Canis lupus familiaris: one gene and its partners. The protein of the gene in region 1 binds, or shares a complex with, the protein of each later gene. Links are inferred from orthologs where the notes say so. Each region holds a gene or a part of one and is shown in the gene's direction. Other genes may lie near its edges.

Region 1 (4,108 bases):
GTTCTGTTTTTTCTTTTCTTTTTTTATTTTTTTAAGTAGTCTCTACACATCCAACCTGGGGCTACGTGGAACATAGGACCGGGAGATCAAGTGCACATGCTCCACTCACTGAACCAGCCAGGTGCTCCAGATACCAAGTTCCTATTATCTTCCTTCACACTAAATCCTCAATAGGTCTCACGGCTAAGTATAAATTGCACACCTTATCTGTTTAAAAATTGTCCCTGCCCTTACCTACACATAAGGCTCATTTTCCAGGAACCTCCTCCACTCTCCTCTCCACCAACCTTCTTCTGTTCTTTCTACTGAGTTCCTCGCTGTCAGAGGAGCGAGATTTTTATTAGTTAACTGCACTCACACCTTACCTCTGAACTCCAGATGCCACTCTTCTGCTACTCACTTTGCCTATAGAAACCTTCCTTTTCCAACTTTTTTTTTTTTTTAAGATTTTATTTATTTATTAGAGAGAGGCAGAGACACAGGTAGAGGGAAGAAGCAGGCTCCACGCAGCAAGCCCGACGTAGGACTCGATCCCGGGTCTCCAAGATCACGCCCCGGGCTGAAGGCGGCGCTAAGCCACTGAGCCACCCAGGCTGCCCCCAACCATTTTCTTCTTACGCGGTCAATACAGCTCGATTTAGTGCTTAGTTGTTTTGGACGCTTTCCATCCCATGTGTGTCAGCTTCCCCAGCACACCCACATTCAGAATTAAAGCACGCACCCAGTCTTCACCTGGGTGGCCCATCACCCCCTCCACCCCCACCCCCCCAGAGGAGACACCCTAACACAGCCAAGATTGCCTGGTGAATTTTAATTTGGATTTGTTGAAGTTAAAATCGGGATCGCGACCCCCAAGTATTCCTGAGTTGGTTGCTGTGTATATATTTGGTGATCCACCTGGAAATCCAAAGTAACGTAAGTATTCAAGGCAATGTTTAAAAACGAATATACACGGGAAGATGGGGAAAATCACTTCTAAAAACTGCAGCATCTAACCATCTCCGTAAAATTGTCTACCACCCGAAAACCTCGAGAACGAGTCTGCTGGACCCAAAACGAAGGAACTCGGAACCCCCACCCCAAAGTCACTCAAAATAACCTCCGCGAGGCGCCTTCGCGGGCGGAGCTGCCCGAAACACAGCCTCGCAAAAGTCCCACCCGCGCTCTACTCGCCGGGCGCGGAGGGCCGCTGACTCCACCCCCTCCGAGAACGCTGGCCTGTGATTGGCTACGACGCTTCCTGAAGCCGCCCAATAGCGAGCGAGCAGCTGCTTTAGCCTCCGGAGCTTGCAGGAGGAACATGGCGGACCGGCTCACACAGCTGCAGGACGCGGTGAACTCGGTGAGCGATTTTGCTCTGTTGGTCTCTGTCTTCCCCTTTCTTAAGGTAAAACGAGGGCAAAGGGCCCCGGGAAAAACACACGAAAGTGGGGAGCGGACTGGGGCAGGGCTTCCGCAGAAAGCGCTGGCGGCGGCGGGAGGCGGCGCGGCGTCCTGGGAGGTTTGAGGCCGGCTGCCGGCTTCGCGGAGAGCTGAGGGAGCAGCAGCCTCTTTCACCGGAAAAGTAGGGGGTCTCTCTGTCAGGACACTTAGGCGTCACGGTCCTGTCCTGTTCTCTGGGAACAGTTTTATTTTACTGCCAGTCGTACTTCTGGGCTCACTTCTCTTTCGGGGGTAAGGGGGAAAGCGGCAGAAGCTCCTTGTTTCCCTTATCAGTGTTAAGCCGCGAAGGAGAAACTGTGCTCCTGACGATTGGATATTTTTTTGTTAAATGTCAGCCGAGAGTATTCCTGCGTCAGGACTTTGCAGGTTGAGCCTGGAGTGATGGTGAGGTGAGAAATTCTGTTTCCTCTTCGTTGGTTCCCAGAGACAAAGGGTCTCGTTCCCATCTCTTGGCGCTCCCTGGCATCAATCAGTTTGGGGAAAACTGACATCTTTAGGAGAGTGAATCTTCTAATCCTTGCGTATGTTCCCATTTATTTAAGTCTTTAATGTGTCGCAAAAAGTCTACTTTCTGTTAAGGGTCAGATCTTGTAAGCCGACCCCCTTACTTTGATCCTTATTATTTTTTTCCTGTTATGCCTGACTGGAAAGTACATGCGAACCAGAGGATTCATGTGCTCATGACCATAAAGAGTTCAACAGTTTGCCATTAGTTATATTTCTCATTGTCAATCTGTTTTTTTTTTTTTTTAAGGTTTTATTTATTCATGAGAAAGAGAAGTACAATCCATGCAAGGGAGCCCGACGCGGGACTCGATCTGGGGTCTCCAGGATCACACCCTGGGCCGAAGGCGGCGCTAAACCGCTGAGCCACCCGGGCCTGCCAATCTGTTTATAATTTGATATCCCAGGTCAAATGTCTTTAGAGAGAGAATATGTTGACTGGAAAATCGAAGTATCTGTTCCCTTGCCAGTTTTTTTCACACCGGAAGATAAGAAGTTAGGATTCTTGTTGCATCCATCTTTGTTCACTTCAAATGAGGGGGGAATCGACTTGTGAAAAACTGATTTACTCCGGGCGGCCCCGGGTGGCTTAGCGGTTTAGCGCCACCTTCAGCCCGGGGTGTGATCTGGAGACTCAGGATCGAGTCCCACCTCAGGCTCCCTGCATGGAGTGGGCTTGTGTCTGTGCCTCTCTCCCTCTCCCCCCCCCCCCCCCCCCCCCCCCGTCTCTCAATAAATAGTCTTAAAAAAAATAAAATAAAACTGACTTACTCCGTAAATAAAATAAGACCTTTTAGGACTGAGAGGGCTAGCCCCTAAAGGTTGATGAAGTCACTAAGATAAATTCTACTTTATGGTGACATGCGTGGGCTGCCAGCCAACTTCCTTCTGGGAGATATTACTTTGAGGCTCTTCAGAATCAAATTGTAACGATGCTGCTGGGCAGAAATGTTATTTTAGGAGAAATGTTGCATATTCATACATGTCTTGTAACCAGAGAGATAATAGGAGACAGTGAATATGGCCTTGACTCCAGGGTAAGCATGCTGATAATTGGATTTTGGAGAGAAATCTCTAGGTTAACTAGTGTGAATGCCTAATGTGTATGTAAGCACTCTCATGTTTACAGAAAAATACTCCTTGGGGAGTTTACAGTCTAATTGGAATGATGTCATATACTCAAGACATTTAAATAATTTAAAAGTAGGATTTGGTTAGGTGTTTATAATGAATCAAGCGCCTTCAAATGTAAGTGCTGAGGTAAATTGGAATAGAGAGTGATATGAACTGAGTAAAGGAAATCTTCTAAGCATTGATCTGAATTGTAATTATTTGTAAAATTATTAAAGTTATTTGTTTTACCCCCTGAGAACTCCATGAGGGCAGAAGCTGTGCCTTTGTTCATTGTTTCATTATAATGTTTATTACAATGCTTGTCATAGAGTTGATTTTTTTAATATTTATTGAATAAATGGATCTTGAGAGAGCTTTTGAAGAACACAACAGATAGCCACTGTGTTGAATATTTATGCTTGTGTGTTTTCTTTATTCCTCAGAACAGTGGTGTAATGTGAAAATGTTCCCAGTTTAAAAATTAAAAACTGTACTCAGGTTACTAGAACCAGAATTGGAATCCACATCTGTACAGCTTCTAAGCACTTAATACTGTGCCATTACAAGTAGCAAAACATGAGCAACACAGTATAGTCTGGAATGAATTTATCACTAGTTAGGTATATATGAAGGAATTAGTAGAAAATGAAGAAGTAGAGTTGACTTAGATTATCGAAAGCTTTGAAATAGCCTGAAGGGTTGGAGATTAATCTTAAAGGCCATGTTGGGGTGAGCTCAAATTTAAAAAAAAAATTTTTTTTTAAAGATTTATTTGAGGGCAGCCCAGATGGCTCAGCGGTTTAGTGCCGCCTTCAGCCCAGGGCGTGATCCTGGAGTTCCGGGATCGAGTCCTGCATTGGGCTCCCTGCATGGAGCCTGCTTCTCCCTCTGCCTGTGTCTCTGCCTCTCTCTGTCTCTCTCTTCTCTGTGTATTCTCATGAATAAATAAAATCTTTAAAAAAAAATAAAGATTTATTTGAGAGAGAGAGAATACAAGTGGGAGGGGCAAAGGGGGAGGGAGAGAATATTGAGCAGACTCCTTGCTGAG
Region 2 (4,141 bases), on another chromosome or scaffold:
TGGGATTCCTAGCTCTACTACTTACTAGCTGTGTTACTATGTTGCTTGGTGAGCTCTGTGCCTCAATTTCCCCCAAATGAAAGATGGAGATGATAAAAAGCATCTAGGGATGAGAGCACTAACTGATATTTGCAGTGTCGAGAATGGTGCCTGGCATGCAGTAAGCATTCACTAAGTAATAACTACTATTTATGTCACTATACACATCCTTCACCCTTCCCACCTACTCATATATTCTCTTAGAATACTGGGCACTTCCTTTAGTGATGTTCTTTCCAAATCTGATTTTATGCTCAGATCTTCTAATTTCAAAACTCTGCTACTCCCCAGCTCAGCAGCACTTGGGTAAGGTACTTAACCTTCACTTTTGGGTTTCCTTATCTGCAAATGAGAAATGGATATTGCCACCTCCCTGGCACAAGTTTGAGTAACATCATGTACGTACAAGTTCCTTTCATTAGCACCTAATGGGTGCTCATATGCATTTTCTGGTTTAATGCAGAAGGTCCTCACAACACACCGTAAGGCAGGTATCTTAATGAAGAAGGAAACAGGATCGGGATAGTCAAGACTTGCCCAAAGTTGCACAGACAGCTAAATGGCGACACCAATACTGGGACGAAACTTCACTCTGAGCCAAATGTTTTTTCTTTTCTTTTTTTTCCCACGAAACCAAAGCTGCTCCCTAAGTGCATAAGCGCTACAACTAAGTTAACTCACGCTGTTCACGGCATTCCAATGCCTGCAGAAATGCAAAAACCATCAACGTACTAGTGCCATGTTGCCCACGGAAACTGCGGTAGAAAAATCAAACCTCAGGTTTTGTTAACATCGATATTAAAGACCGAAGAATCCGAGAGCCCTGGAGCCGGGGACGTGTCTGAAATTTCAATAAACAAAACAAAGCGACGGGTTTCTGCTCTAGCCGCCCCCACGACGACACTGCGGGCCGCGGGGAGGAGGCTCAGTCAGTGGTCGGGCCTTTGGGGCCGGGCCGGTCCCTGCGCAGGCTACGCGGCCCGGCCGCCCCCAAACCGGGAGGAGGCCTCCTCCTCGGGGCCCGGGGTCCAGCGCCCTGCGTTGCGCCCGCCCGCCCCTCACCTCCGGCTCCGGGCGCTCCGAGGCCATCACACAGCCCTCCCGCGCCGGCCCGGGCCAGAGAAGATGCTCCACTCTTGACCCTTGACCCGGCTCCCGGAGACCCGCCGGAACCGGAAGTGAGTGGGCGGGCCGCGCTCTCCCTGAGTTTTCTGATTGGGGGACGAGGCCTCTAGAGTGGATCGCCGACTAGGAAACCGGAAGCGGAAGCCGCCGCCGCCGCCGCCGCCGCCGCCGCCATCGCCGCCTTCGCCATCGCCGCCGCCGCTATAGCCGCCATCGCCGCCATCGCCATGCAGGTGAGAGCGGGCTTGGGGCTGTTAACCGCTAGCTAGCTTCAGGTGACAGGACTGAGAATGGGCTGGCCGAGGAGAGAGTGAGGAGTCGGGGCCGACTGGAGGGGCAGAGCGCGTAGCTGACGGGTAAGGGCCCGCGGGGGCGCGGACGACTGGAGCGGTGGGGGTGGGGCCCACCTGGCAAGAGATGGGAGGTTGGGGCCTTGTCGTGGGGAAGGAGGCTGCGTGGACTAGCTGGCGTGCACGGAGGGATCAGGCTACGGTAACTGGGACGGTTGATATGCAATGCAAGGAAGGCAGCTCAAGAAAATGCAAGTTGGCTCCGGCCCCTGCCCAAGCTGTTGGATGTAGACGTGAGGGATCTGGATGGAATTGCAGAGGAGCCCGAGGGATTGGGGGAAGGGGAGGGAGGCCCAGAGCCGAGCTACTTAAAATCTGAGGCTCTGTGAGTGGAGCCCCGGATCCAGGCCCTCCTCATGCCCCTTGGTGAGTTTGCAAGACAGCTCTGCATCATTTCTCCCAGCCTGAGCCTGTTAGTTGTTGAGGATGAAGAAATGGAGTAAAACTGGAGACCACAGACGGGAGGAAACTGCAGACACCCCAGCATTTTAAAATTGTGTCTCTGGCGCCTAGGAGCATGTGCGTTTTGTCTTTGTTTTTCACTTGCCACTTACTTTCTTGCACCTGGTTGGCTGTCAGTAAATGTCTTCAGGCTGAGTGAGCTTGTGGAAGGGACGCAGGAATACGGGCACAGAGATAAAGCGAAGGGCACAGAGATAAAGCGAATGCCGACTAATCCAGCAAGAAGAAGCTTGAAAACTTCAAATGCTGACGCAGATGAGGAGTGGGGGAGGGGCCGTGGGGTACAAGTTTCAGGGAAACCTTAGTTTCCTTCGTTTCCACAAGCATGAGTATGTTTTCCGGAGATTATGTGACTGGCAAGAACTTCCAGGCTCACAAGGCAAGTTCTAGGACAAGAGAAAGACAAAATACTGCAGAGGCACACAAAAGTTAATAAAGCCCAGGGATTATGTCTGAAAAAAATGCCTCAGTGAGAGTGTTTCTATTTTTTTTTTAATTTTATTTATTTATTCATGACAGACACAGAGAGGGAGAGACACAGGCAGAGGGAGAAGCAGGCTCCATGCAGGGAGCCCGACATGGGACTCAATCCTGAGGCCCCAGGATCACGGCCCCTGGGCCAAAGGCAGCACTAAACCGCTGAGCCACGCGGGCTTCCCTGAGAGAGTGTCTAATACAGAGGAAAGCCAGACATGAATTAGCAGACAATGAGGGAAAGGAGGAATTGAGGTCAGGCAAATGGATTGAAAGGTCTAAGAATTGATGCTGTCTGTAACCCAAATACCAAAGATAGAGAACAGCCTGGCTTTCCTGCACCAGTGAGATCCTGGGTTACTTGACTAGTTTTGCATACTGTCATCCCGGCTTTTCAGCCTTCCCTGTATACGACATAGCCACACCTATCTGGGTAACCAACCTGTTCCTATTGGTGCAGAGGGAGGAGAAGCAGCTGGAGGCATCATTAGATGCACTGCTGAGTCAAGTGGCTGATCTGAAGAACTCACTGGGGAGTTTCATATACAAGTTGGAGAACGAGTATGACCGGCTGACCTGGTAAGGGTTGCCAGGGCAAGCTGAGGAGGGCTCCATGGGGTGGGGGTTGAGGGGGCAGGCCTCCTGATTGATAGGACATCTCCAGGGATGTCACAATTTATCACTTTGCAAACATTTTTTTTTCTTTTAAATTTCCAAGTTTGTTTTTTTGTTTTTTGTTTTTAGATTTCATTTATTTATTCATGAGAGACACAGAATGAGAGAGAGGCAGAGACACAGGCAGAGGCAGAAGCAGGCTCCCTGCAGGGAGCCCGACGTGGAACTCGATCTCGGGTCTCCAGGATTACGCCCTGGGCTGAAGGCGGTGCTAAACCACCGAGCTACCCGTGCTGTCCTGCAAACATCTTTTAATTTGAAAAGATCTATGTTTCCCAACATTTAACAAGTGAAGTTTGTCTTAGGGCCACTGTGGCACGGAAATAGAGAAATGCCCAGTTTTCCAACCCAAGTTTTTTCTAGCTTTTGATTGTCACCCTTGACTTCTTTGGGAGGAGGTACTCCGTCAGTGGGTCCTCCCACTATAGTAAGAGTACAGCGTTCATCTCGGGTCTCTTACGATAGATATTGCTGAGTCTTTTAGGTCCAACCTACTCTGGAAGTGTGGATCCTGTTTTCAGGCCTGAAAGATCTCTTTTTGCTCAGTTTATAAATTTTTAATGATAAGCATAGCCATGGTTCTTACTTTGCCACTGGTCTTTTACCCCATTCAAATAATGAGCTGCCTTATTTCTCCATCCATGTTAGAAACTAAAAGCGTGTCCCGTTTTCATAACCCCACAATCCCTGGGATCCAGTCTGGTTCCTGCCCAGTCCAGCTGTAGTGCTCTGAGTCTTTTTCGAGTGAGCCTGGGTATTCCTAGTCTGAAAGACCCCTTCGAGGCTACTTTACTGAGAACATTGTGACACCTTCTTACCACTACCAGGCCGTCTGTCCTGGACAGCTTCGCCTTGCTCTCTGGACAGTTGAACACTTTGAACAAGGTCTTGAAGCATGAAAAGACACCGCTGTTCCGCAACCAGGTCATCATCCCCCTGGTGCTGTCTCCAGACCGTGATGAAGATCTCATGGTAAGAAGAGAAGAAGGGCATAACATGGGAAATTAAATTCTTAG
Region 3 (4,099 bases), on another chromosome or scaffold:
GCCCCGATCCTACATCCTCCACACAGAAGCCAAGATATTTCTAAAAATGGGATTGCATCACGCAACTCCCCTGCTGAAAACACTGCGGTGTCTTCCCATTGACCTTAGAATAAAACCCAAGCCCCTTTCTATGGCTTCCAAGACCCTTTGTGAACTTGCTGCTGCTTCTTTCGCTAACGTCCTCTCTCCTGTACCACGCTTGTCCCTCGCATAGCTCCAACAACGCTGGTCTTCTTTCTGTTCCAGAACATTCCAAGATTGCTCCCGTCCAGCCCTTGCGTTGCTGTCCCAGACCCCTGCACGGCTCACTGTCCACCCACACAAGCCTCAGATCCAAGTCCCCTAACCAAGGCCTTCCCTGACACTTCTGAGTGAGGAACCCCTCCCATTACCTGTTTCCTTCAGTTACTCATTGCGATAGAAAATGGTCTTTTCATCATTTGCCGTGTGCCCCTTCACCAGTGTGAGCTCCTGAGAGCCTGGGTCCTGCCTACCTTGTCCAAGTGCCCACAGAGGAGAGGCTCCATAAATAGTACTGCCCTCCCCGCCCTCTGCGAGACCCGGGCCGGGTTCCCTTCCGAGATCACGCCTCATGGTAGATGTTGACTTTTATCTAGTCTGACCTGTATGGAAATGTGTGTGACTGGGGGTGCCCGTACAGGGCACAGGGCTTAGCATAAACAAAATACCTGCTTGGTTTGAAACACAAAGGCCAACTGGTTAATTAATGGAGGTCTGTTTCTTGCCCCTCGGTTTCCGGCCGCGGTGTGATCCTCCCAGTGGTCACGGTTTGGGTTTGCTCCCTGTCCCCGAAGTCTGGATCGTGAGGGTGGTTGGAACAACAGCCTCCCTATCCATCAGCCCATCAGGCTGGCGGAGCGTCGCGGGCCTGCGGACCTCCAGTGCTGGCTTGCTGCAAGGGGGCTCCCGGGGTCAACGGTGCGGCCACCCGGCCGACGCGCGGCGGAGGGGGCTGGCCCAGTGCCGACCCCGCACCTGCCGCACCTGCCGCACCTGCCGCACCTGCCGCACCTGCCGCACCTGCCGCACCTGCCGCACCTGCGCTCGGGTCAAGGGGGGGGTCCCTGTGGGTTGGAACGGCCGCTGGGCGTTCTCCCGGCTGAGGACTGCCCCCGCGGGAGACCCCACCGAGGGGATGTAGGCGCTCCCGGAGGCGCTCGGGACCCCCGCGGCTACGTCACTGGGCGAGCAGAGAGGCGGGGACAGGACCCCTCCCGCGCTCGGAGCGCCCCAGCTCCGCCCCTCGCCCCTTGCGAGTCTGCGCGAGGCCGGTGGGCGGGGCCCGAGAGGACCGCCCCGCCCCGCATCCCACACTGCCCCGCGACAGGAAGTGGGGCCGCAGCTTCCGGGACCTCCGGGAAGCTGCTCGTCGTGCTGGTGACGTCTCGGCGCTTTTGCTGGCGATGGCCGCGGCCGTCGCTATGGAGACAGGTAGGTAGCGGCCGGAGCCCTGGCAAACACAGCTACAGCCGGCTGGCCTCCTCCTCCAGCTTCCCCCGGGACTCCTGTGTGGCGTGACTTCGGCGGGGCTCCTGTCCGCGGCTACCTCCTCCTCGCTTGCCGCGCAGACGCCGACCACCCCTCAGCCTCAACCCCTCCCGGGCCCCGACCCCGCGGCCTCCCGACCCATCCCAGGTCCTGGCCCTCCCAGCCTCCGGGCTCTGACACCCCCCTCCCCCGGGCCTCCCAAATCCTGCCGCCCCGAACCAGTCCCCCCTCCCCGCCAGGCCCTAGCGGGAGCACACTCGCCCCCTCCTCTTGCTTAGCTTGCAGCCCTCCGCCACTGGTCACCCTGGAGGTCCTGGGGAGTGGCTGCCAGAGGGTGAACATCCTGCCCAGGGGGCGCCCGCTTCCTCGGACTTCTCCTTAAGGAGTTACTGGTCTCATTAATCAGGGCCCTGCTCTCTAGACTTGGGAGGAAACGGCCCTCTCTTCCCACATCCAGCTTAGGACAGTCATCCCTGCCTTATGCCTTCAGAGATACTCTCAGCAATACTCAGAACACTCCACTGCTGTTTTCTTTCTACAAACCAGCACTTTAGATAGTCACCTTTATTTTGTTTTTTATTTATTTTATTTATTTTTTAGTCACCTTTACTTTGGATGATTTTTGCTCACTTCCCTCCTAGATGATGCCGGGAATCGACTTCGGTTTCAGTTGGAGCTGGAATTTGTGCAGTGCCTAGCCAACCCCAATTATCTTAACTGTAAGTCCTTGAGCTCTTACTGACTTGAGTAGCTGTTAGTGATCTCTGGCAGAAGAACTGCAGTTCCTAATGATACCTATTTTTATATGTTCTCAATCCAGTGGAATTAACTGCTACGCTTATACTGGTGTGTGTGAGAACAAATTGGGACTTATGTTCAGCATTTAGTGTGTGTTGGTGGTGGGGAAGTTATATAAGTAGATGCTTTATGTGAGGGGTCACAAATCAGTAGTCCGAGGATTGGTTTGCTCTACAGATTTTTTTGTTTGTTTGTTTATGCCTTTCAGTTCTTGCCCAAAGAGGTTACTTCAAAGACAAAGCTTTTGTTAATTATCTTAAGTACTTGCTTTACTGGAAAGAACCAGAATATGCCAAGTATCTAAAGTAAGTTTAATTTTTATAGTCCTAAATATGTGTATAGTTATTACATTAAAAATACTGATATTTGACAGATTTTCTCATTTCCCATTGGAAAAAAGTATATTTTGAATCTCTCCACTTCTTTCAGTTGCCTCCACCTTAATACAGAGCCACCCCCTCTCCAGCTTGGATTATTGCGGTGTCCACCCCCCTGCTTCTCCCTGCTTGTGCTCTTACCTTCCTTCTGTGTCCTCCCTCCCGCAAGCCAAACCAAGCAAAACAGTTTTCCACAGGGAAGCCAACTTGATCTTTCAAAAATGTAAATTATGACGTGGTATTTTCTTGCTTAAAACCTCCCAGTGGTTTCCCATTGCATGTGAAACAAAATCCTCTCTCTTTTCTCAGGTCTCTCTTTATCTATCTACCACTCACCCCATCTCACTGAATTTCTGACCCTAATGAACCCACAGTCTGTAGATGCAGTGGTATTACCTGAGGCTGAAGATTAAAGAACATCAGGTACTTGGAAGGTTTTCTGGAGGAGGTGACCTTACCTGACTCTTAATATAGGCATTCCTTGGATACTGTTGATGTGGTTCCAGGCCACTGCAATGTGGTGAATATTGCAATAAAGTGACCCAAGTTTTTGGGTTCTCTAGTGCGTATAAGGGTTGTTAACACTATAGCATTAAGTCAAGAAAGAGGTACATACCTTAATTTAAAAATATTGTTAAAAAACACTGTCATCTGAGGTTTTATGGAGTCTGATCACAGATCACCCTAACAAATACAATGATAAAGAAAAGTTTGAAATGTGAGAATTATCAAATAATGACAGACATAAAGTGAGCAAATGTAGTTGGAAAAATGGTACCCATAGACTTGCTTGCTGATGGGTTGCCACACGCCTTTAATTTTTAAACAAAAAGTCCAAAAAACAAACCCAAACCAGTGTGTCTATAGCTGCTGTGCCTCCTCTGTGCCAAGCATCACACTTGTTTCAACCTTGAACCCATCCCTCTTCTTTGTCTTCACTAGGTAGTCAGAAAGCAATAGTTGAACTTCTTGTCTTTCTTTTTTTTTTTTTTTTTTTTTTTCTTGTCTTTCTTTTAAACAAACACGTTTGATAGGAAAATGATTCAGACTTGTACTTTATCCAAGTCACTTTTTATTTTTTGTATTTTTATTTTTTTTCCAAGTCACTTTTTTGATTTGTGTCAACTGATTCACAAAACCCACATCCTTCTCCCTGCAGGACCCTGTACACCCTGACTGCTCCTTTATGAACAGCCACTTATTCATTGAATAATCCGGAGAAAAGCTTTTTCATTAGCTGTTGTGTGCATGTGTAGACTTGGAGACTCCATTTGGACCTGGAGACACAGGCAAGGTCTAGTTCAGGGCTGGCCGTCTACACTCTGCATGGGTCCAGTGAGCACCTGTTCTCCATTTAGGGACAGTTGCACCATTAGCTGGGTGCTGGAAAGTTTTTCCTTATTTTGGGATATAAT

The links.
Region 2: MED21 (region 1) and MED8 share a complex: the UniProt entries of both Homo sapiens proteins name them as parts of the mediator complex. The link is inferred for Canis lupus familiaris from reciprocal best matches to the Homo sapiens genes MED21 and MED8.
Region 3: MED21 (region 1) and MED31 share a complex: the UniProt entries of both Homo sapiens proteins name them as parts of the mediator complex. The link is inferred for Canis lupus familiaris from reciprocal best matches to the Homo sapiens genes MED21 and MED31.

What each region holds. Positions count from the first base shown.
Region 1 is NC_049248.1:25,930,701-25,934,808, forward strand, and holds the start of MED21 (mediator of RNA polymerase II transcription subunit 21), read left to right. Parts: upstream 1-1,281; 5' UTR 1,282-1,300; coding exon 1,301-1,342; intron 1,343-4,108. UniProt on the Homo sapiens protein: Component of the Mediator complex, a coactivator involved in the regulated transcription of nearly all RNA polymerase II-dependent genes.
Region 2 is NC_049236.1:16,881,063-16,885,203, forward strand, and holds the start of MED8 (mediator of RNA polymerase II transcription subunit 8), read left to right. Parts: upstream 1-1,338; 5' UTR 1,339-1,391; coding exon 1,392-1,397; intron 1,398-2,910; coding exon 2,911-3,029; intron 3,030-3,952; coding exon 3,953-4,097; intron 4,098-4,141. Other genes in the region: KICSTOR complex protein SZT2, read right to left, coding at 1,102-1,128. UniProt on the Homo sapiens protein: Component of the Mediator complex, a coactivator involved in the regulated transcription of nearly all RNA polymerase II-dependent genes.
Region 3 is NC_049226.1:30,892,062-30,896,160, forward strand, and holds the start of MED31 (mediator of RNA polymerase II transcription subunit 31), read left to right. Parts: upstream 1-1,296; 5' UTR 1,297-1,424; coding exon 1,425-1,452; intron 1,453-2,150; coding exon 2,151-2,228; intron 2,229-2,515; coding exon 2,516-2,612; intron 2,613-4,099. UniProt on the Homo sapiens protein: Component of the Mediator complex, a coactivator involved in the regulated transcription of nearly all RNA polymerase II-dependent genes.